Linked DNA regions of Caenorhabditis elegans. The protein of the gene in region 4 purifies or fractionates together with the protein of the main gene of each other region. This does not show direct contact. Each region holds a gene or a part of one and is shown on either strand. Other genes may lie near its edges. The genes, in order: rps-15, pole-2, mcm-3 and B0395.3.

Evidence for each region.
Region 1: the proteins of B0395.3 (region 4) and rps-15 fractionate together in Caenorhabditis elegans (co-fractionation; one large-scale study listed by BioGRID). This does not show direct contact.
Region 2: the proteins of B0395.3 (region 4) and pole-2 fractionate together in Caenorhabditis elegans (co-fractionation; one large-scale study listed by BioGRID). This does not show direct contact.
Region 3: the proteins of B0395.3 (region 4) and mcm-3 fractionate together in Caenorhabditis elegans (co-fractionation; one large-scale study listed by BioGRID). This does not show direct contact.

What each region holds. Positions count from the first base shown.
Region 1 is NC_003279.8:8,815,072-8,817,896, forward strand, and holds rps-15 (Small ribosomal subunit protein uS19), read right to left. Parts: upstream 1,123-2,825; 5' UTR 1,115-1,122; coding exon 1,008-1,114; intron 933-1,007; coding exon 710-932; intron 655-709; coding exon 529-654; 3' UTR 501-528; downstream 1-500. Other genes in the region: F36A2.9 (Lipase_GDSL domain-containing protein), read left to right, coding at 1,910-2,178, 2,537-2,641, 2,686-2,825. UniProt on the Caenorhabditis elegans protein: Negatively regulates lifespan.
Region 2 is NC_003282.8:8,681,692-8,688,459, forward strand, and holds pole-2 (putative DNA polymerase epsilon subunit 2), read right to left. Parts: upstream 4,920-6,768; coding exon 4,840-4,919; intron 4,793-4,839; coding exon 4,692-4,792; intron 4,642-4,691; coding exon 4,566-4,641; intron 4,421-4,565; coding exon 4,261-4,420; intron 4,116-4,260; coding exon 3,999-4,115; intron 3,947-3,998; coding exon 3,716-3,946; intron 3,665-3,715; coding exon 3,566-3,664; intron 3,298-3,565; coding exon 3,073-3,297; intron 2,905-3,072; coding exon 2,756-2,904; intron 2,389-2,755; coding exon 2,322-2,388; intron 1,142-2,321; coding exon 881-1,141; 3' UTR 549-880; downstream 1-548. Other genes in the region: snrp-3 (U1 small nuclear ribonucleoprotein C), read right to left, coding at 5,284-5,379, 5,534-5,683, 5,797-5,862, 6,002-6,118; hst-1 (Heparan sulfate N-sulfotransferase 1), read right to left, coding at 6,754-6,768. UniProt on the Caenorhabditis elegans protein: Accessory component of the DNA polymerase epsilon complex. Participates in DNA repair and in chromosomal DNA replication.
Region 3 is NC_003283.11:15,056,208-15,061,368, forward strand, and holds mcm-3 (DNA replication licensing factor MCM3), read right to left. Parts: upstream 3,393-5,161; 5' UTR 3,388-3,392; coding exon 3,179-3,387; intron 3,134-3,178; coding exon 3,041-3,133; intron 2,990-3,040; coding exon 1,625-2,989; intron 1,572-1,624; coding exon 919-1,571; intron 872-918; coding exon 753-871; 3' UTR 512-752; downstream 1-511. Other genes in the region: C25D7.16 (40S ribosomal protein S20), read left to right, coding at 110-259, 305-511; nssp-71 (neuronal small secreted protein), read left to right, coding at 4,177-4,228, 4,809-4,922, 4,968-5,032, 5,083-5,161.
Region 4 is NC_003284.9:16,034,519-16,041,161, forward strand, and holds B0395.3 (Choline/carnitine acyltransferase domain-containing protein), read right to left. Parts: upstream 4,714-6,643; 5' UTR 4,708-4,713; coding exon 4,647-4,707; intron 4,598-4,646; coding exon 4,494-4,597; intron 4,447-4,493; coding exon 4,366-4,446; intron 3,836-4,365; coding exon 3,663-3,835; intron 3,609-3,662; coding exon 3,443-3,608; intron 3,140-3,442; coding exon 2,968-3,139; intron 2,860-2,967; coding exon 2,678-2,859; intron 2,385-2,677; coding exon 2,284-2,384; intron 1,619-2,283; coding exon 1,362-1,618; intron 1,311-1,361; coding exon 1,210-1,310; intron 1,153-1,209; coding exon 706-1,152; 3' UTR 518-705; downstream 1-517. Other genes in the region: mboa-1 (O-acyltransferase), read left to right, coding at 29-159.

The DNA.
Region 1 (2,825 bases), on a different chromosome or scaffold from region 4:
CAAGTGGGAGACAGCGAAGTATGTGACGAGGAAACTTATTGCCACCAAGTCGAACATTTTTGATACCTTTCGGAGAAATAAGAACAAAATCTATCCATTTTTTCACTTAATGTTGATGAGAAAAAATGAGAAGCCGTTTTCTAAAATTATGGCCTTTTATTGCAATTCTGTGTTCGGACTATTCTGTTCATTAAAAGCAGCGTATTGCTGTGTAGAAGAATGGTAATCACGGTATTCAGATTGGTCGATGACATCCAGGGCCAGCAAGTTCTCGATATTCGTTTACTTTTATTAGGAATACAAAAGAAATTCAAAAAATTTGGGTGGTTATTTTTGTGATAGTGCGGGCTTCCGTAAAGGCATTCGCATCCAATATTCAACTGACCCTTTCAACTCGCGCGGACATTTCGACACATTCTAATATAAAATCATCACGTTTCTTCGAATTGATGTTATTCAACCGTGTATAAAAGACAGCAACATAATTTGATCAACTTTAGAAACAAGTTTATTGTTCAACAAATAACTTTACTTGAGTGGGATGAATCGGGAAGAGTGGGTAGCTCCAATACCTGGTCTTCCGTGCTTGACAGGCTTGTAGGAGATAGCGAACTCTCCGAGATAGAATCCGATCATCTCTGGCTTGATTTCGGTCTGTAACAAAATAATAATAATCATAATGTTTTCGCATTTATTGTAATCGACTCACCTGGTTGAAAACCTTTCCGTTGTAGATTCCGATGACTCCACCAACGAGCTCTGGAAGGATGATCATGTCTCGGAGATGGGTCTTAACGGTGGCTGGCTTCTCGAGAACACCAGCAGCCTTCTTGGCCTTTTGGACCTTAGCGATGAGAGCCAAGTGCTTTCTCTTGAGTCCGCGATCGAGACGTCTGCGCATGCGGCAGGGGAGAAGCTTGGTGAATTGTTCACTGGAAATAAATAATTGTTCTTGGAGATGACCAAAAACCAGACATTGCCGGCAAAATATTGTTTTAAAAAATTACCGGGACATGTCCAAAAGTTGGTCCAAGTCAACTCCTCTGTACATGAACTTGCGGAAAGTTCTCTTCTTCTTCAGCTCAGCGAGATGGGCATCATCTTGAGTAGCCATGTTTAACCCTGAAAAATCGATTACTTTTTTTGTTGCAATATATGGATATTGAAAAGAAAGTAAATAAACATATGGAAGAGAAGTGAAGAAAACTCGTCATGAATTATCAAAAAGAGCACTGACTTACATATCGTAAAATTTAATTAAATAAAATCTGAATTAATGCAACTTCCATTTTATACATTTTTACGATAATTTTTCCATTAGTTTCACATATTTCTCTACAGTAGGAAAAGAAAAATTAGTATTTCTATATTAAAAACAGGTATTAACACCAAAAAACCAGAAAAACCGTGAAAAAAATCGCGAAAAACGGAAAATTTTGTAAAAATTCTACTGACAACCGAAGCTCCGTATCGTTCATCATTGTTGAGTCGCTACTCAGCGCAGGTTGGCTGTTCGCCAGAATTCGGTGGAGCGCGGTTGCAATTCTTATATTTTTATCAATTTTTCGGGCCTGATAAACGGAAATTGGTGAAAAAAAAAGTTTTGGAGCTTCGTAATTTAATTTAAATAATGTTATTCTCAAAATAAAAAATGTATTCAACTGCTGAATACAAATTATTTTCATAAAATGAAGTTTCGACCAGAATTTATTCGACAATAATTAGTTATTTGAAATTCTTGTCGATTTAATTTTGTTTTTTAAGCATTGTTTTCAATTTCGAACTGCAAATAAAGCATAATAGAGTTTGGAGATCTATATTCTCTCCTTTTGACGATTCTACCTTTTAAATATCTTCTTCTTTAGCCTTATCGCAAGCACTATTTTGTCTTCACTTTAATTTTTTCAGAATGCGATTAAACCTACTTCTACTACTTCTATTTTATTTTGCACATGGATCTGTGGTTCCCAATGTAGACCAGAAAATTCTACGCGGGGAGTTCCATGACGAGGGAAAGTTTATGGTGGATTATGAGGATAATTCGCAAAATTTGACCGATTATGCGAGCCGAAGAAGCAGTGATGACGATAAAATAACTCCAGAAGAACAAAAAAGGCGTGGAAATGACAGTACAGAAGTTTCAGAAGATGATGATTCAAGTGATATAAGTGAAGAAAGGTGTGACCATTTAATTTAAAATCATTTTTTCTCACCGGCTTCTTGCGATTTACAAAATTTGGACAGTTCAGACTTATAAAAATGTGGGGAAAATCAGCCGATTATGACAAATTTTTCGACACTGCTACGTCATCACACGAAGATGAAGAAGGGTTTTCAATTTTTGAAATTAGAATGCTAAAACCGCATGGTCTGCTTCTCCCAATTTCAAACTATCCTATTTATTTTTGTTGAGTTACTTAATTTTTTAATCTTCTTTTCCATATTAGTTTCTTCCAATTAAACGCTTTTTGAATGAGGTCGAGTGATGGTCTTCCTGGAACTCTATGAAAAATGACAAAAACAATTATTATTTCAGAGAAAGAGACAGTGTGGATCATCAACATCTCAAATCTCTGACCGCCATCAAACCTGAAAAACATCAACCAGTGGCTGGTGTAATCAACTCTGCATTCAATGACAGGTTTATTTTTACTAATATATTGATAAAAATGAAGCTTTTTTCAGAAAGACATTCTCCTGTCCTCGTATCAAAACTGAACTTTTGACTGGAACGAATGTTGGAAACATATCTCCTGAAGATATAACAATCATTGCTGCAATGGGAGATGCTCTCGCAACTGGAATTGGATTATGGCCAAATGCGG
Region 2 (6,768 bases), on a different chromosome or scaffold from region 4:
GAATGGAAAAACTTCAAAGACTAGATGAACGAAAGAGGTGATACTGTAGTTGTTAAATGTGCACACCGTTTTGAGCAGTCTTCGTTTGGAACTTGTCCGTTCGTGACAAGAGTTTGAAAATAAATCATGAGAAATCGTGTTTAACTGGCAAGGATAAAACTGAGAAAACTCGGAAAACTCAGAAGTAGAAACAATTGAAAATTGTCAGCAAATTTAAATTCAAATATTATTATTCTCCGAAATTAGACTTCAGACAGAAAAATCTACCAAAAAATACTGAAATTCCCAATATTTCCACCAACTTTATATAAATCCAACTAATTAGGCTCCGCCCTTTTATCATCTGAAATATTGCACCTGTCTTCTGTATGCGGGGCCCCCGGTTAATGCAAAATCTAAGTGATATCAGAATACGACGAGGTGGCTCAGTTAGGGTCACGTCACCTGAGAAGTGAAGTGATCTGAAAAAACTGAGATTCGTCATTTCGGAAATTGAAATGGAATTTTGAAATTAATTAATTTCGGATTTCTACAACTCCAGAATTGATTTTGCAAAATACTTGTTTTATTTGACACGTAGACCTCAAAAATTATTCAGAAATCACATGATGTACTTGAGATGAAAATAGTGATAAACTGTGAGATTCAAATAAAAAACTGAAGAAAAAATGATTAAAAAATTAGATGAAAATCGAATGGAAAATTGTGAGATTGAGATGGTTTGCAGATCAAAGAAAAACGGGAATGGAATTGGAGATTTGATAATTAAAATAGGTAAGCTTGATTTGTGAAGCATGTCAGAAAAGGAAGAAGAATATGATTACATTTTTGATGTTAGAGCTGGAAATATAATTGGGTATGAATTCTTAATCATCATATTCTACTGATCATCAAGTTCGGAAACTGGGATTTGTGAAGCTTCCACGCGATTCTGACAGGGATAATAGACGTGGAAAGTGTAGTTGCTTCGAGAGAATGAACCAGGATTTGAGACAATTGTGTCAGCTCCAACGACTTTTTCGGTGAAAGTCTCGAAACGATCAGCAGTGATCAGAAGATCGGGAAGTGGATGAAGTGACAAGGAATGAGAGAAATCCGGTAAAACTGGTGTAATATGTTGAGGAAGTGGACACAAATGCGCCTGAAAATAAAACTATAATTAACAGTTTTCAGATTTTTCATATTTTGAGTGTCCAGTTTCCGAAGACCCCGAATTTGTAACTTCAAATTTAAATTAATCTTTGGTTCATGGATTCGATTGGTTATTCTTTTCCTATAGGATATGAAGGTCTAAATTTAACCGTGAAAATCTAGAACTGTAGCAGAAGAACATGTATTTTAAGAAATTAAATGTTCTTTCGTATTTTCTGAGGATTTAATTGGCTCTCCATAAAAGGAAAAATCAAAAATACTTCCATAGAGCCCACGTGATCAAAAATTATGAAAACAATGGGTACAAGGACATGTGGAATTTGCATCAGAGTCTCAAACATCGTCAAATCAAAAACTAAAATTGAAATAAAAAACTCGTGTGATTTCTTGTCTACAATTCAAAACACAAAATCAGACAAACTTTCAATTATAACGCTGAAGTCTGAAGCCTGTTGGAAATTTATTATTTTTTCTTTAAAAAAAAAGAGCGATAATTTTATTCTGTGGTTTTCGCTTTGAATAATTTGAAGTTTTTAAAGTGCTCACTAAAAACCAAAAATACCTTCTTTTTTTAAAGTTTTTTATTGAAAAATTTTAATTTCAATTTAACTTAATTATTTAACTTTTCAGCCCAATTCAATTACATTTTCTGAATTTTTTTAACATACTGAAAAGCGGGGTTTTCGAAAATTTGCAATTTTTGTTCGAATTGATCTTAGTTTTTATTTTTACATTTCATAGATCCAGATTGGCAGGTTCAAAATAAAATATATAAATTTTATAATTTCAGATGCAAAAAAAAATCTATTTTCAGCTCATTAGAAGAAGTTTATCGCTTATTTTCAGGTGTTTTTGAGCCGGTTCCAGTTCCCACTAAAACTGCTACGTGATTTTTTTCCAGCATGGACAGAAAAACAAATATAGTATTTAGGAGAAGATATATTTCGTAGTAAGATCAGGTGAATTTCGTTTAGTTATTCAAAACGTTGACTGAACTTATTGGAAATACGAGAAAGTTCAATGCTTCAAATCATGAAACTTCAAAATTTCTACGTTTCTGTATCAGGGGTTGCCGAGTTGAAAAAAAATCCAGAATGAAAAATCAAAATCTACAGAATTTAGTAGTTTTTTTTAATTACACAAATTTTCATCAAATTCATTTTACCAACCTGGCTCAACACACTTCTTGCATATCTCGATGGGATGGATTCGACAGTGATACTATTGATTGAATGTCTGAAATTAAGTAATTTCAAAATTATTTAGTTTTAAGGATTATGCCAAAATTTCTTCTCGGAAAATTCTCATTTTTAGGAAATTATAACTTCTATGTTTGTTTATTCTCATTTTTTATTATTATGAAATAAATAAAAATTCAGATATTCTGTTGTTGTTTCTCATATTTTTTAACCGATCTCTTTAGATTCCAACGTCATCACATCTGTATTTTGTCTAGTTCATTAGTGTCTAGCTCAATAAATAATAATCAGTTCATTGCTCCAATTATCATCTCAGCTGTCATTTTTTGTACTGCCGTACTAATTTCAACAGACAAAATAGCGTATTGATGATGAGATTTCCAGACTGAAAAGCTTAAATTCACCTGCACGTTTTTTTGATCAAATCACTTCGGAAGACAACAATCTCCTGGCTTGCGAATTGAATTCGACACGGATTCGAAGCAAATGTACACGAGATAATTGGGGAAATATGCTTGAAGAGAAGAGATGGAAGATGTGGACGAGGAAGTACCTGAAAATTCCAAAAAATAGAAACGCAAATGATAGTATGATAGTAGTTTGATAAAAACTATATTCCGGCTGCTGTGACAACGAAAAGTCGGCGAAATTTCCGATTTTGGCAAAATTGTGTTTTTTTTTTTGAAATTTTTGGAAAAGAACATTTTTGAATATATTTTACCGTGTCAACAAATGGATCATCAGGTCCTGGTACAAAGATAAACTGTGTTTTTTCATAATCCTTTCTGAGTGGTGTCAATTGATTAGCCAACCACCTGAATCCACGATCCAGTAAATCAATTGTATCAGTTTGTCTGGGTCTTGAGCAAAAATTTCCACAAAAAACAATTGCAACTGGAGGTTGATCTTTGTATCCTTGTAGCAATTTGAATACTGCTTTCATAACCTGGAAAACATATAAATTAGACTGGTTTTTGAACTGAAAATTATTCTTTTCTAGTTTATTGGGGAAAAATATTTTTTTCGGAAAAAACCTAAACTGAGAATTTTCTTCAGAGTTTCTAAGAATAGACTATCGAAATTATAAATAGAGTTCAGTTAATTCAAAATATTTAGGTTTTTTAAAAATAGTGATTCAAACTTTTAAAAAAATTGTTTTTTGTTTATTAGTTTTTTTCGTTATTCGTTTTCAAAAAAAAAAGTTTTCGGATTACCTTTTTATCATCCAAAAAAACATCGGAAAGGAAGACAAGGGAAGTATCTTCCTGCTTAGCCAGAGCTGATCGTAGGCGATCACTGCACCGGAATGCGATCTGAAATCAGTTTTTTTTCAAAAAGAAGTATACTTTAAATTATTTCCATACCTTATCATCTCCTCCAAACCAATTCTCATTCGAACTCAACTCTTTTCTCGTAACTTCTGCTGATTCTACAGGTACCATTGCAACTTCATTCACTGTTAAAACACTATTCTCAAAAGTTCCTTCAAAAATTGCAATTGAATGCTCATGGAATAACGCATGATGAAATTTCGTGTCTTCTTTAAATTCTACTTCAACTGAACCGCTTAGATCTTCGATATGATAGCAGTCGGCCTGAAAATTATTAATATTAGATTTTATCAAATTTCACTATTTCAAAGAATACCTTTTGCTGAGTAAGCATACCGAGAACTACAACTGATTGAAGATGTTTTGTGGAACTTCCCAAAATTTCGCATGTGGTGAATTTGAAGTTTTTCAGTGAAGCACATCGCATTGCACGCTGTAAATCGTTAATTGATTAAACTTTTTATTAAAGATTTCAGTATATATTTATATGTTGACCTTTTTATGCAAACACATATTAGTGAAATATACATTTTGCATATTTTTTTTGCAAATTTAAACAAAAAAGAAAAAATGTTCACCTGCTTAACAATAAAAAATCGTTGTCGTGCAGCATGTGAGAATGACGACGAATCAGCAGCCAGACTAGTTTTTTCTTTTCTTAGAACCATTTTCCGAAGATCCGCATCAAAATCATACGGCTGGAGGGAGAATGCGTCGAATACATTGAGCAGTTTTCCTCTGAAAACACGAGTATAAAATTACCTTATCCAGAAATGTGACGTCAATTCGCAAAAATGAAAGGGTTATGATGCTCTAATAAAGATAACAATAGAAGTTTTTTTTTTGAAAAAATTAATTTTTAGAGGTCAAAACCAGAACTCACGCATCTTGGGTTCCTTTTGATTTACATTGACGGAATGTATCTCTGATGAGTTCTTCACTGATTAGGGATGATTGCACTAAAGGAAAAAACTATTTGAAAATAGTTTAATAACTGGTATATGCTTACGTGTCTGCTTTTTGAGTAATTCAATCATTTTATTCGTCCATTTCTTTCGAGTTTCTTTGTCATGGTCTAGGAATAGCTTCACACATAATTTGACCGCTTCTCTATAAAATAATTGCAAATTGAAATAATTAATTTTCAAGAAAACTACTTTTTGAGCTCAAATGCGTGTATCTGAAAGGTTTTGACAATTTCTCGGCGCAGCGCATTCTCCTCGGCAGTTGTGTCCATCTAAAATTGTATTTTTAATTTGCTTTTCTGTTAAGAAAAGAGGGATTAACTATTAAAATTAATTCAAAATATTCAGATAATCACACCATGCAAAGTCAACACATCACAAAACGATAAACAGAAATAGTATTAACAGATTAGATTTCAAAATAAAAATATTCATTACAAAAATTGAGACCAGGAACAGAAATAAATTATTATTATATAATGTTCACGAATTAGGAAACTTCAGAACGATTTTTCTTGGAAACAGTTGATAATTTGAAAAAGAAAAATGAAATTTTTTGTGCACACTTGGCAGAAACCCAAAACAATAACAATTTAAGCATTCTGAATAATTTCCATAGGAAACATCGAATTCATTTTACATCGGACGGAATTGTTGTGGTGGACGTGGCATCATTGGTGGCATTCCTGGTGGTCCAGCCATACCCATAGGCCCTCCTGGGAATGGTGGCATCTGAAATATTCAGTTGTTGGCGAGACTTTTTAATATTTCAAGAAAAAAAATACATAGTCCTCTTTAAACTCTAAAATGTCAGTCAAATCTGCATTGACACAATTTTAATTTAGATTTCAGCTGCATTTCAGTGTAATCTTTTAAAAAGACTGACCCCTGGTGCTCCTGGAAATCCGACTCCTGGTCCAGGGAACGGTCGAGGAGCCATCATTGGCATTCCTGGGGGACCTCCCATCATCGGATGATGACCCACTGGTGGTACAGGGGCCATTCCCATTGTTGTACGTGGTACGGCTCCTTGCATCTGAAAATTGACTTTGGTTTATACTTGTTTTCAAACAAAAAGGACGCTGATTTTTAAATTACAACTGGATTATATATTTGTTGTTGTAAAAGCTGTATTTTAAAACAACTTACTCTATTTGTGGCAAATGCCCGTGCAGTTTGATCAACAAGCTTCTGTGCTTGGTCTTCCATCCATTTCTGAAATAAAATGATTTTATAGTTCATGTCCAATTAAATAAAAATTGCATTATTTACAAAACAGAAACTTCTTAGAAGAAAATCGATAATATCAAACACTAGCTCACTTTATTTGAAAAATAGCGTGTTAGGAACTTACCTGATAAAACATTCTGACGTTATCCTTGTGTTTTCTTCCTCCATTGTGCGTTTTTCTCACTGATGGCGAGTCATGTGTCAAAAATGTGTCGCAGTAATCACAATAGTACTTTGGCATGCTGAAAATTAAGATTTTGTCATTTTGAACTATTGTTACCAAGAAAAGAAAGCATAATGAAAAATATAAACCACGAAAAACTGAGAGTATTCGAAAATCGGTTTCAAAAAATTCTTGCTCCGAAAGTGTGTCAACAGGGCACGAGAAATACGCAAACATATCGAGAAAAGCGTCAGTAATTTATTCACGTGGGTGTTCAAATTTGGTTTTTAACGAAAATTTTCTACGAAAATAAAAACGAATTCAAGATCATCATGAAATAGTTTTTCAAAGAAGGAAATGAATTATATTTTGGATGCTGAATGCTCGGTTAAAATAGATATAAGGTGTTGTCGTTATTCAGACGCGCCCAGTGCTGTTTGGACGCATTTAATGTTGAATATCGACTCTGTCAATTGGTATCGATTGATTTTGGGCATCGTGAGATAGTCGTAAATATGCACAAAACATTGAGAAGAAGATAACTGATTTTACATTGTATATTTATAGATTTTTCCACGGGAAAAATTTCAATTTTTGTTTAAAAAATTTAAACCCGTATTAAAAAATAAACAAGCGAAAGATCAATAGGTACAGGCATTTGTTACAAAAATGAGCAAGCAGTTATGGCAAAGTACAAGAAAAAGTAGTGTAAATTATGCACGAATTCT
Region 3 (5,161 bases), on a different chromosome or scaffold from region 4:
TTAAGCGGGTTTCTATATTTTTTTGTTCACGCTGAAAAACATTTCAAAATAAAAAAAGCTAATAAATCGTTCCAAAAAAATGTATTTCCTATATCTTCGAATCTAAAAAATGACGTCTTCTTCCGTTCAACAATCGATTGAAATTCGTGTTAATTGGAATGAAATTCCAACAATTGAGCAAAAAATTTTGGAGGCGCTGAAAGGAATAAAAACTCGAAATATCCGAGAGACGAATGTAGTTTTGTTCAAGAAAAATGAGGTATGTTTCCACTTTCTCATTCCTTTCCAAATAATTGTTTTCCAGGAAATTCATGTGAGAATCGAATTGAAGCCAATGGAATTCCCTGACACAAATCGTTGCAAAGCGGTTCAAGCGAACACCATTCCGTTGGTTGGTGACCATCGACTCGGATGTACCGGAATTCAGTATCGACAGGAGAAGGCAGCGAAACGTGGAAAGAAGGCTCGCATGTCGACCGGCGTTCAGACAGTCTCCACAAAGAATCAATGACCAAGAGTACTTCTTTTATCCGGTTACGCGATTGATAAAGAGATATAATAGGGGGAGGAATAAAGAGAAAAGAGAGAGACAACATAGTACAATAGGCAATGTAAAATCAATGTGAGTGGATTAGGAGACCCTAGTTAAAATGAAATAGGAATGATAATCAGGTGAAAAAAAGGATAAAATAATGATTTGATTGAGAGATCGAAAAGAAAACGGGGCTTATGTTCCAGCTTCCAGCAGGAAATTAGATGAGAGTGATCTTATCTTCGGCAATCATTGCAGCGTTATCGTTTTCCAATTGTTCGTATCCAGCCTTCAGCTCATCCTCAGTGAACTTGTGTGATCCGGCTTGAGTTTGAACACCTGAAAACATTTTTGTAATAAACATTTTTAATGAAACATTTGCTTACTGTCTGTGATAATTTGAAGTTCAACCATATCGTCGGTGCTTCCAATGTCGTCGAACGCCTTTCTGACGTACTTCCGAAGCTCCTTATAACGATCAACTCCGATGGCAGCCGGTCCAGTACGTGCTTTCTTAGCAGTTGGCTGACTTTCTCCAATGGTAGTATCCATCATAGAATCCTGGCTATCATCATCTTCAGCACGCCTTCTGACTCCACGACGCGGGGTGGCTGCAGTCGGAACGGAGCTAGATTGAGGCTCTTCCGATGTTGCCATGTCCTCGTTATCGCTCTGATCCTCATCATCGTCACCATCAATTCGTGGAGCTCGCTTCTTCTTCTCATACTCTTGACGAGCCTTTGGCTTCTCCTTGAAACAGGCAAAGTGGAGCAGATTGTAAGCTTTCTCAGTATCCTCTCGTTCGACTTTTTTCGAGAATCTTGCCTTCGCGATAGCAGTTGACAAACGAATCAATGTTTCGAGTTGACGAGCGGTGACAGGCATTGTTCGTTCTTGATCAGTTTTGGTGATATCAAATGAACGAATATCGGCATATACTTCAGAAATGTACTCAGTAGCTTCATCGGTGAGTTTTGGTTGAACTGATCTTGCCAAATGGATGTACTTTCTCATGAAGTCCATTGTCAGGATTTTCGTGCTGAAATAGAGAAATTAATTAATTTATATTGTTTTTTTATAAAAGAAACTCACTCTTGAATACCAGCCCATTGGGTATTTTCCTCATAGATCGAGCTGCTCGCCTTCTTAGTCTCCATATTGATTGTACTGATCGTCTCAACACCTCCACCCATCGGAAGAACAGTTCCATCGGCTTCACCTTGGGTTCTGTAAGTGTGAAGCTTGAGCACATGTTCAGCGACATTAGCGTCCTTGTCCGCATCATGCTCATCAAGAAGTACAAAGATCAAATCGAAACGCGAGAGGAGTGAATCTTGCATTCCGATGTTTTCCATTGGAGATTTGAATGGATTGTATCGTCCGTACACCGGATTTGCTGCAGCCAGAACCGAGCAACGAGCATTCAGCTTCGCGTGGATTCCAGCCTTCGAAATTGTGACACGTCCCTGTTCCATAACTTCGTGGATTGCAGTTCTATCAATATCAGACATCTTGTCAAATTCATCAATACAAACGACACCACGATCGGCGAGAACCATTGCTCCAGCTTCAAGACGACGTTCTCCCGAATCAGGATCAGTAGTAACAGCAGCAGTAAGTCCAACACCCGAAGATCCACGTCCAGTTGTGGTGATAGCTCTTGGGGCCATACGAAGAACATATCGAAGCAGTTGAGACTTGGCAACAGATGGATCTCCGATGAGAAGAACATTGATATCTCCCCTCAAACGAGAACCATTGTTCAGAATCTTTTCCATTCCACCTAGCAACAAACAGAGCAACGCTTTCTTTGTCTCTTCGTGGCCGCAAATTGATGGAGCAAGTGACCGAGCGAGCAGCTCAAATGGGTTTCTTGACTTTGAAATTTTACGAACATCTTTAACATCTTGTGGCTCAAAGTTTGGAATAACCTCCTTTGAAAGCATTTGAATATGATTAATGATGATGATCGAACGGAAGGATCCAGACGAAACTCCATTCTGCTTATTCGGCAGAACACGGAAGACTCCAATGATGCGGACACGATCTCCAGGCTTGACGCGATCTGCCAAATCAAGATCAGCAACACAATCGACGGCCCGAGGAAGTTGACCGGCTGGTGCGGATTCTGGAAGCTCTTGAATTGTGAACGTTTGATGATCCTTGTAAACTGAATGTCCGAATTCTGTTTCAAGAGGATTCTTATTTTCATCTTCTGTTGGATAGTTGTTATTGGTGACTGCAGTGTCGAGCATAGTGAAATCGGCAAATTTCTTCTCGAGCACTTTATTTGTTGCTGGACAATAGTGGACAGAAGTGAGAAGTTTTTGACGAACAGTTGAACACTTTGTGACGATTCCCTCACAGCAGACAAGGTTTCCAAGATATGATGATTTGAGAGTACGTGGATTGACGTGGCGCTCTCCGAAAGTTCCTTCAAAGCCGACGTGGAATCCACTGAAAATACAAATTGTTTAAAAACAAAAACGGCTTTTAAAAGCTACTCACGTTTTGACAACAGCTTGAACATCACTACGATTAATAGCCATTTGAAGTGCAGATTGTAAGCAATTCATCTCAAGAACGCTTTGGGTCAATAGCCTGAAAACTTTAATACTCGGGAATTCTTTATTTTTTATTAATTACCCTTCAGCTCTTTCTGGTAGAATTTCCCTGATTTCATCGAGATTCATCACCAAACGACTTTCTCCATCATTCATCATTTTCACAATTTTCTGACGATAGTGAAAAGTGTCGGCTTGATTGTCCAAAAAGTTGAGATACTGCTCCGTGATTTCTTGTTTTCGAGCATCCTCGGCACGATCAATGAACATTCCATCAGCTTGTCCGTCCATTTTTTCTGAAAATAAGATGTTTTTAACAAAAGAAACTTAAAATTAAAAAATAAACGAATAGAAACTAGAAAGCACGGAGAAGAGCGGGGAAAATAGAAAAATTCGGCCCAAATTCGCGCATTTCTCATTCAAACAGCAAGGTTTCGCGCGCTCGCTCCGTAAACACCATGACGCAACGCTGCACTCAATGCACCTGAAAGTGATGTTTGAACATGTTTATTTTAAATAGCTATTAATAGCGAAATAATTTTATTTAAATAAAAATGCCTGGAATAAAATGAAAATTGTCTGAAATTATCAGTTCAAAATTGTCATTTCAAGTTTCAAAAAACATCAATAACATTTGTGCCCGTGATCTATGCAAAAGATCTCTTCCAAAAATCTCCTCAATTTTTCATAACAAATCACAAAAATGGAATCTATTGTTTCAGTACTCACAAACTCACAGACACAGATGCTTTTCCATTCTATTCATCCCATCTTTCTTATTTTCTCCCTGCCTCCCCCAGGACGCACCTTTCGTAATACATTTATACATAGAAATGGGAAGAAAGTGGTCACAAAAGCACACATATACACAAAATTTATGCCGTAAAGCTTTAAGTGCTTTGACTTTGTCTCCTAGAAACTTGAGCGCACCGCGTGCTGGAAACCATTGGAAACCGTTTGAAACAACATCTATCGGACCCTCCCGCCGCCGCTCGGGCCTTCACTCATTCATTCATTCACAAAGCTATTTTTTCTGTGCTTTTTCGTTTTATATTCGCAATACGATACGAATACGAAACCATGAAACTTCTACTCGCAATCTCGATTCTGGTACTCTGGATTTCAGAGACAGGTGAGAATTGAATCTAGATTTATAACAGGACTGGCGAAATTTTGAACGTGTTGCCTCCAAGAGTACTGTACCGGGTCTCGAAACGACTTTTTTAAGACAAAATCTATTAGCTTACTATTCTTCAAACGAGTGTGCACCTTTAAGGAGTACTGTAGTATTCAGATTGTTTCCGGGTTTTCTTTATTTAGTTGCTATAGTTTTTTCTTCCGTTTTTTAAGTATCAAAAAATGATAATTACACAAGTGAAATTACTTGAGAATGAAACAATTTTTAGAAAACAGGAGAAAACTGTTCTGAGAAAAGTTAGAAACTACCGTACTCTTCAAAGGCGCAAACACTTTTGCAAATTTAATAATGGGTAGTGTCGAGATCTGATCTAAGGGGCTTGGTGTGCGCCTTTAAGAGGTACAGTTTTTCCAGGGTTCAAAAATGTTTATTTGAAAACTAAGTTGAAAATAAACCGAAAAATCTGAAAAAAAAAGTCGTTACTGTACCGCTTAAAGGCGCGTACCTTTCACGATTTGCAAATATTTCTTTCGTGGCGAGACCTTGGAGCTTTGGAACATTGACTTTTTTTCAGAATCCACAACATGCTTCGTCCAAAATAGTATTCTCAATGCGTTCACTCAAGTCTGCCCGGGAAACATCTACACCTGCATGAAGTTCGACTGTAAAGTGAACAATCCGAAGAAATGTGAGTTTTAAGCCTGGAAATTATCTGTAAAATCTGAATTTTCAGTCCGTCAGACCACTAAAGGATGTAATGATCCTGGAAATGCCCTGGTCGCCTGTACTCAGCTTATGGTAAGTAAAAATAAATTTATATATTTTTTCGTGCAAAAATTAATTTCCAGACGCAATGCCAAGCCCAAGGTGGAACCGGACAATGCTACACTTGCAATGGAGATTACTGTAATTCCAGTCCAACGAGCT
Region 4 (6,643 bases):
AAACCACTAAAATACAACCATCTTTCAGGAACCGGAATGTTCATTGCTTTCTACGGCCAAGAATGGTACGCGAGACGTGGACACTGTGCCCCGTACTCCAATGCCGTTGTGGACCTTTTGTTCCCGAGACATTGGAATTGTCACCCACCAACTTCATGAAATCTCTAATTATTTGTCACACGGGGTATTCGTTTTTTTTTTTTGTATTTTGTTGATTTTATTTGAGAATTATTTTTTAAACTGTACAAAAGTTTTGTCACTAGTTTTTACAGAAAAAATAAATATTAGTTACTTGATAGAAGTTGGTTCATTGTAAAATATGCTTATTTGTACCAAAAATCTTTTGATCGGTCTGCTAGATAAATGCACACAATTTTTATGGCAGGAATAGCATATTTTAAACTATCGATTTTAGCAAAACAATTCTGAAATCAATCACATTTTTTCTCTATTTCTTGGCTATCACCCCAATATTAGATGTTTTGTAGATTTATCGTGGATATTTGTGATACACCTCTGACGGAAACGTATTTATTATACAAATTATTTATTCATATAAAATGTTTTCATAAAATATCTACAAGCATTTTCAATCAATTACAATAAAGCAGAAAAAAAAACATTGGGATCTGAACACGTAGGAGCACTAGTTATGGCGTGTGAAATGTTATTCTTTAAAAAAAAGTAGTATCAAAATATGATCTCCTACAACTTGGACATTTCTTTTGTAGCCTTATTAATAACCGATTTCATGTCAATTAGCGCCTTTTGAAGTTCCTTGGCAAACTTCTTGGAACTCGTCGAGCCGTAGCTCTTGAATGTTGAGATCATAAAGTGAAGTTCAGTTTCCTGTGGGTTGTAGCAAATTCCATAGCAATCAAGGGCAGATGGTCCGAAGCACATTTGGATGAAATGCCGTGTGGGAACTTGACTTGTGGAGACTTGGAAATGGTTGAGTTGTTGGTAGATGTTGGAACCGAAGATTTCTGGGGTTGGGAGATTATTTTCAGTAGCGATCAACTTCCATGCCAATAAATGTCTGTCCATTCCAGCTGCATCCATACAATCCATGGTGTACTTTTTATGCGAATTTGTTGCGTGAACAAGTGCATCGTAGATTTCACTAACCGGCGTAGGAGGCTTAGATACCATCTGAAAATTGAGTGAGTTAAATTGGGTGATCGATCTAGGTCACACACAAACACACACCTTCTTGACAAATGATGCTGCAGCTGTATTCGGAGATCGGATGTTCTCGGTTCGACCCTCGGTGAATTTACGCAAAGTGGCCGTCTCGTAGGTTGGTGGAACTGGAAATTTAATTCGTCATCAAATTGTAAGATGGGGGATAATTGACTTACGCGATGAGTGGATCCGGTAGAAAGCTAATTGGTAAGCCATTTGGATGAACGAGTCGGGCGAGATCTTTGAGGATTTCGGGAAATTCTTTCCGTAGGGCTTGAACGTGAACGCGACGATATCAAGGTCCTCGGCGATGCTGTCCATGTTCTTGGAGCTCTTGGCGATTCTTTTGTTGATTTCCTCGTCAGTGGAAATATCGAGACGTTGCACTGGGGAGTTGGAAGGTGTGCCTTCAGTAATGAATGTGTTAGCATCACTGAAAAATTGAAGGAAATATAATAGATATATTATCTTAAATGTTACTAACTGAAGATATCCAAGCTACCAGAATACTTTTTGCAACATTTTAAATAAACTTGTTTGATGAAGCGTAGGATCAGAAATATTTATATTGCTATGGTTAAAGGTGGAGTAGCGCCAGTGGGAATTTGGTCTGAATACACTTATTATGATCCAACACGACAGAATATCATAATAAAACACTCCAAACATTTTTCGATTTTTCATAATTTCCGGCCGAAGTTTTGGCAAACTGCCAATATTTTGAAAAACGACACATGCAATGTTTTAAGACAAATTATTTAAACAGAACTACAGTATAAAAAAATGTAGGAAAAATTTTTTTTTTGGTCGACTTCCAAAATTATATGTGGAAAAACTGAGTAACTGTCACTGTTTGACAGTAAATAAAAAAATTTTAAAAAACTTTTGAAAGGATTTATTATGATATTCGGTCATTTTGGCACCATGTGTAGGAGTAGTTTTTCACAAGTTCCCCACTGGCGCTACTCCACCTAAAGTGCCACAGTTCCGGTTTTTGACCCAACGATAAAACGAAAAAGACAACATTTTAAATTTCTGTTCAAATTCAAGTTTTTCAACAAATTTTTTTGTAATCAGTTATAAATTTCAAAAACTCACAATTGATCACAAATAAAATCCATGAGTGCACCGACTGGTGGTCCTTCGGCTGGAGTGTGCTCATACGTCATTCCGGTGTAGCCATTTGTTCCGATGACAAACTGAAATTTCCAGGTATATTTTTTGCTATTGCAATGCAAATGTGCTCTACTGATCAAATGCAAAAAAATGAGTGCATGAACGATAAACACGTGGTGTAAGAGTGTCTCATGTCGGCTTGATCTACAAAGATCTACAAAAAATGCGGGAGAAGAGACGCAGAGTTCTCAACTGATTTCGTCTGGTTAAGAACGTGTTGACGTATAATTTTTATGGGCAAAAAATTCCCGCATTTTTTGTAGATCAAACCGTAATGGGACAGCCTGACACGCCGTGGATAAACTAAATAACACACCTGAATAGTCTTGTCAAACCATCTGTTGCTCGAGTTCACTTTGGAGCCGCCACCATGCAGTGCCTGCCTACTTTGCTCATCTTTCTCCGTGTAGCCAACTGGTGGTTCACTAGCTTTGTCAAGACAGACTACGAACAACGATTTTTCGACGGCTTCCAGGGATTTCGCGTTGTTGTTATCCTCTGAAAATAGTATTATTATCAGCATAGCTAGCTTCAAAGAAAATCTTCACAATGGAGCTAAGCAAAACTTCTACATTTGGCTTGAAACTTTTTTTCTCGAAAGCTCACTTTTCAGCGATGAGTATACATTTGCCCATTTGTCGCGACTATCGGAGGAGACAATTCCCACTGGATGTGGGTTTGGAGTTTGACTCTCTGAAACGACTTTTGCCAGTTGCTGAGTAATAGCAAAAATTGAGAGTGGCTGCTCGTTGGAGTCTAGGACTTGGACGCGGAAGAGCTGAAAATGTAGGGAGATTTTAACGGTTTTGTTGAAATCTGTTTGCAATATTTTTTTCAACTTCAATTAGATGGAACAACTGAAGTCTTATGGGGTTATTCAAGAAGTGTCGAAAAATTAAAAAGTGTAGAAAAATTAGGTGCAAACTATATTAAAATACATTTTTTGAAAACTTGTATTTTAATACAGTTGTGACGTAATAAATGTATTTAAATACATTTTGCAACATTAATTGAATAACCTCATTAGTCTTTATAAAGAATCAGTGATACAATTTTTAAATAACATTTTTTAAAAACTCACATGTCCATTTCTAATCACTAAAATGTGTTGCAATTTCTCCTTATAGTCACATCCATATCTAATCTCATCTACGCCAACCTTAGGTACCCTAGTTGTTCCAAACAAGAACTGGTACTGGCTCATATCAAGCGGCGACTTTCCTGCCATATCAGGCTTCAACTGATTACTGAAAAAATGTTTTTTGAAAACTAAAAAACATCGAATTGAACCAGAAGCCTACTTTTTTGCTCGAAGGTAAAAGTGGACAGCGGCTTGGCTGATTTTTGCTGCATATTCCAGTTGTCCCTCCTCGGTGTTATAGTCAAATTTAGGGAACATGACTCCTGGAGATGTGACGACTGGAAGTGGGGTACGAGCAGCTAGGTAGGCGATGTTGAGCCACCATGGTGTGAGCTGAAAATCTTTTGTTTGAATCGGTAAAAAAACGCCAACTTGCTCAATTTTAAGATAGTTAGTTTTTAGATATATTATAAAACCATGTGTTAAATTTGGAAATCTATTTTTATGGCGCTGGCCCTGTCACTTTTTCAGCAACATTTTGATTTCATTTTGATGTTTTCAATTTATAGGCTGGCGGATTATTTTGTGGACCAATTTCCAAGAAATTGTTTGTTTTGCAAAGAAAAAATTATTTAATATAAACGCCCAACATTATGCCTAATACCTGATAGGTATTACTTATGCCGTTAAATATTTTCAAAATATTGTAAAGTTTTCTAGTATCAAACTTTTTAAAATTAGGTTTAGGGTACACTTAAAGGTGTCATTGGTTTGCAGTAAAGCTAAACCTATAAAGTTAATTGATACATTTCTATTTTTTTGGTCCAAACTGAAAATTAACTACTCCTAATCATAAATGGGGAAGTTGTTTTGAATTTATTTTTCTAATTATTTTTTTTAGAAAAAAGTGTTAAAAATCTTACCCAATTCGGAAGTGCGTCGGCTCGTTTCTGCAGCAGTTCTTGCAATTTCGGCAAATCCTTAACCACAAAATCATTTACAATCTGAAATTGACATTTGTTTTGCTCCAAATGTTTTTTTTTATTTTTACCTGTTTTGTCTCTTGAAATTCCTTTTTTGACTGCAACGCTTGTGCAAAGTCCAGGAAGTGTTTCAGCGTTTTAATTGGTTGTGGAGCCGGGAGTTTTGGTAGGTCTGAAACGTCATCAATGTATTTACAATCGAAAAAAAGGTTTAGTCTCACCTGTTGAATTATAACGGGCTGCACCGTGACCTCCGGCCATTGCGTTGACACTGTGCTTCATTAGTTGCTGCAAAATGAATTTTGAATGCTCAAAATTTTGAGGGAACAGGTAATCCCTCACAAAACGCTGCGAAAAGTTACTATAGTGATAAGTGAAAGACGTTTTGTGGGGGAAGACCCGGGTGGGGGAATGTTATCAATGATCATTCAGACTACACTACGCCGTAGTCCAAATTTTATATGGTCATTTTGGTCAGCATTTAATATTTTTGGGGAGAAACTCACGGAGATCTGTGGTCGAATCATTGTTTGACATTTCAGCATTTTTTCGACGGGTTTTGTTACTCAAATTGATGAATATAATGTAAGCTTGTATGAAAGAAAGAGAATGTAAAAGGGAATGCACCATGTTGGTTCAATGCAATTTTTTTTTAATTTAGCGTAAATAATAGAAGAGTGATCTGTTAACCAAAAAAATTTGTTGTATGTTAATTGAAAATTGTTTTGAAAAATTTTCAAAAAATAAATGAAGTCTCACAAAAAAATTCGTTTTTTTTTTGGCATCTGGCAATTTTATAACAACTTTTTGCATTTTCTCACATGTTTAAATTTAAATAATTTTTTTTTAATATTTTGGAACTAAATTTTAGTTAAAGAATAGCGCCTGTGGGGATTTGATCTACATACACTTGTCAAAAACAACCGAATATCATAATAGAACACTCAAAAAAATTTAAAAATTTAAAATTTTTCATAATTTCAAATTGCCAAAACTTTAAAAAATATGAGCAATGTCATATGTTCCAACCCTTACAATGTTTTAATACGATCAATTAAAACAAAATTAAAGTAAAAAAAATATAAGAAAACATTTTTTTTGGTCGACTTTTAAAATTATGAGTGGCAAAACTGAGTAATTGTCACTTTTTGACAGTAAATAAAAAAATTTCAAAATTTTTTTTGAAAAGTTTTATTTTTTTTATTCGGTCATTTTTAGCACTATGTGAGTAGTTTTCAAAAATATCTATACTATATCTTTATTTTTCTTTGGAAAATTTAAAACTTAAAAAACATTTTTAAAAAGTAACAAAACAAAAAAAATAATTTGTTGATTTTCAGAGTGTAAAAGTGTTCCAAATGTTTGGGGCGTAAGATCAAAGTGTTTAGAAAACGAGTGACGGCGGGTGAATGGCAGGGGTCATATGGGAAGAGAGGAGTGTGTGTGTGTGTGTGTGTGTGTGGTGATGTAGGGGGCACAAACAGAAAGACCAGGCGGAACGCAGAAAACACAGGCAGCGAAAACAGAAGAAACCGAGTAGTTGTGTTGTGTCCAAAGAGTGGGGGGGGGGGGGGGAGGAAATGGAGGCAAGTTAAGTTCTCTCCTACCACACAAAAACCCCGCGTGGTATCCACAAAGAGGCCGAGAAATGGAGGAAGAAAACAACGATGTGTAGCCAAATGGTGTGAGTTAATGAGAAGAGGTCATTGGATTTGGATGGCAGCCAGTAATTGGATTGTGTAGTGAAAGTGTTAATTTTTCTGTTTGACATTTTTTAAGACACAACTTATGGAAATTACAAGTTGAACCAAACGTTTTAATATTATTTCAGAAAACTAATGGAGTTTCATTATTAAAACTTTTTTTTTCAATTTCTGATGAAACAAATTTTAAAAAAATCGCCTAAGCATAAATATTTGCAATTTGCTTCTCAAATTCATAATTAGCGGAAATATAATGTTATTCGAATGTTTCCCCATCATTGTTTTTATTCCAAATAAAAAATTTTAGCAACATTTTGTCTTTGGAGTATTTTTTTTTTAAATTGAATACTTTTTGAAAGCAACTTGGATCCCCGAAAATTTGGAAATCTATCAATTGCAACTTTTTTTCTTTTTTTAAACACTTTTCTAATAGTTTTTTTTAGGAATTCGGCTATAACTTATATAAAAAACTAAACTTGGGCAAAAGTTGGGCAAGACTTTTTGGCAAAACTTGG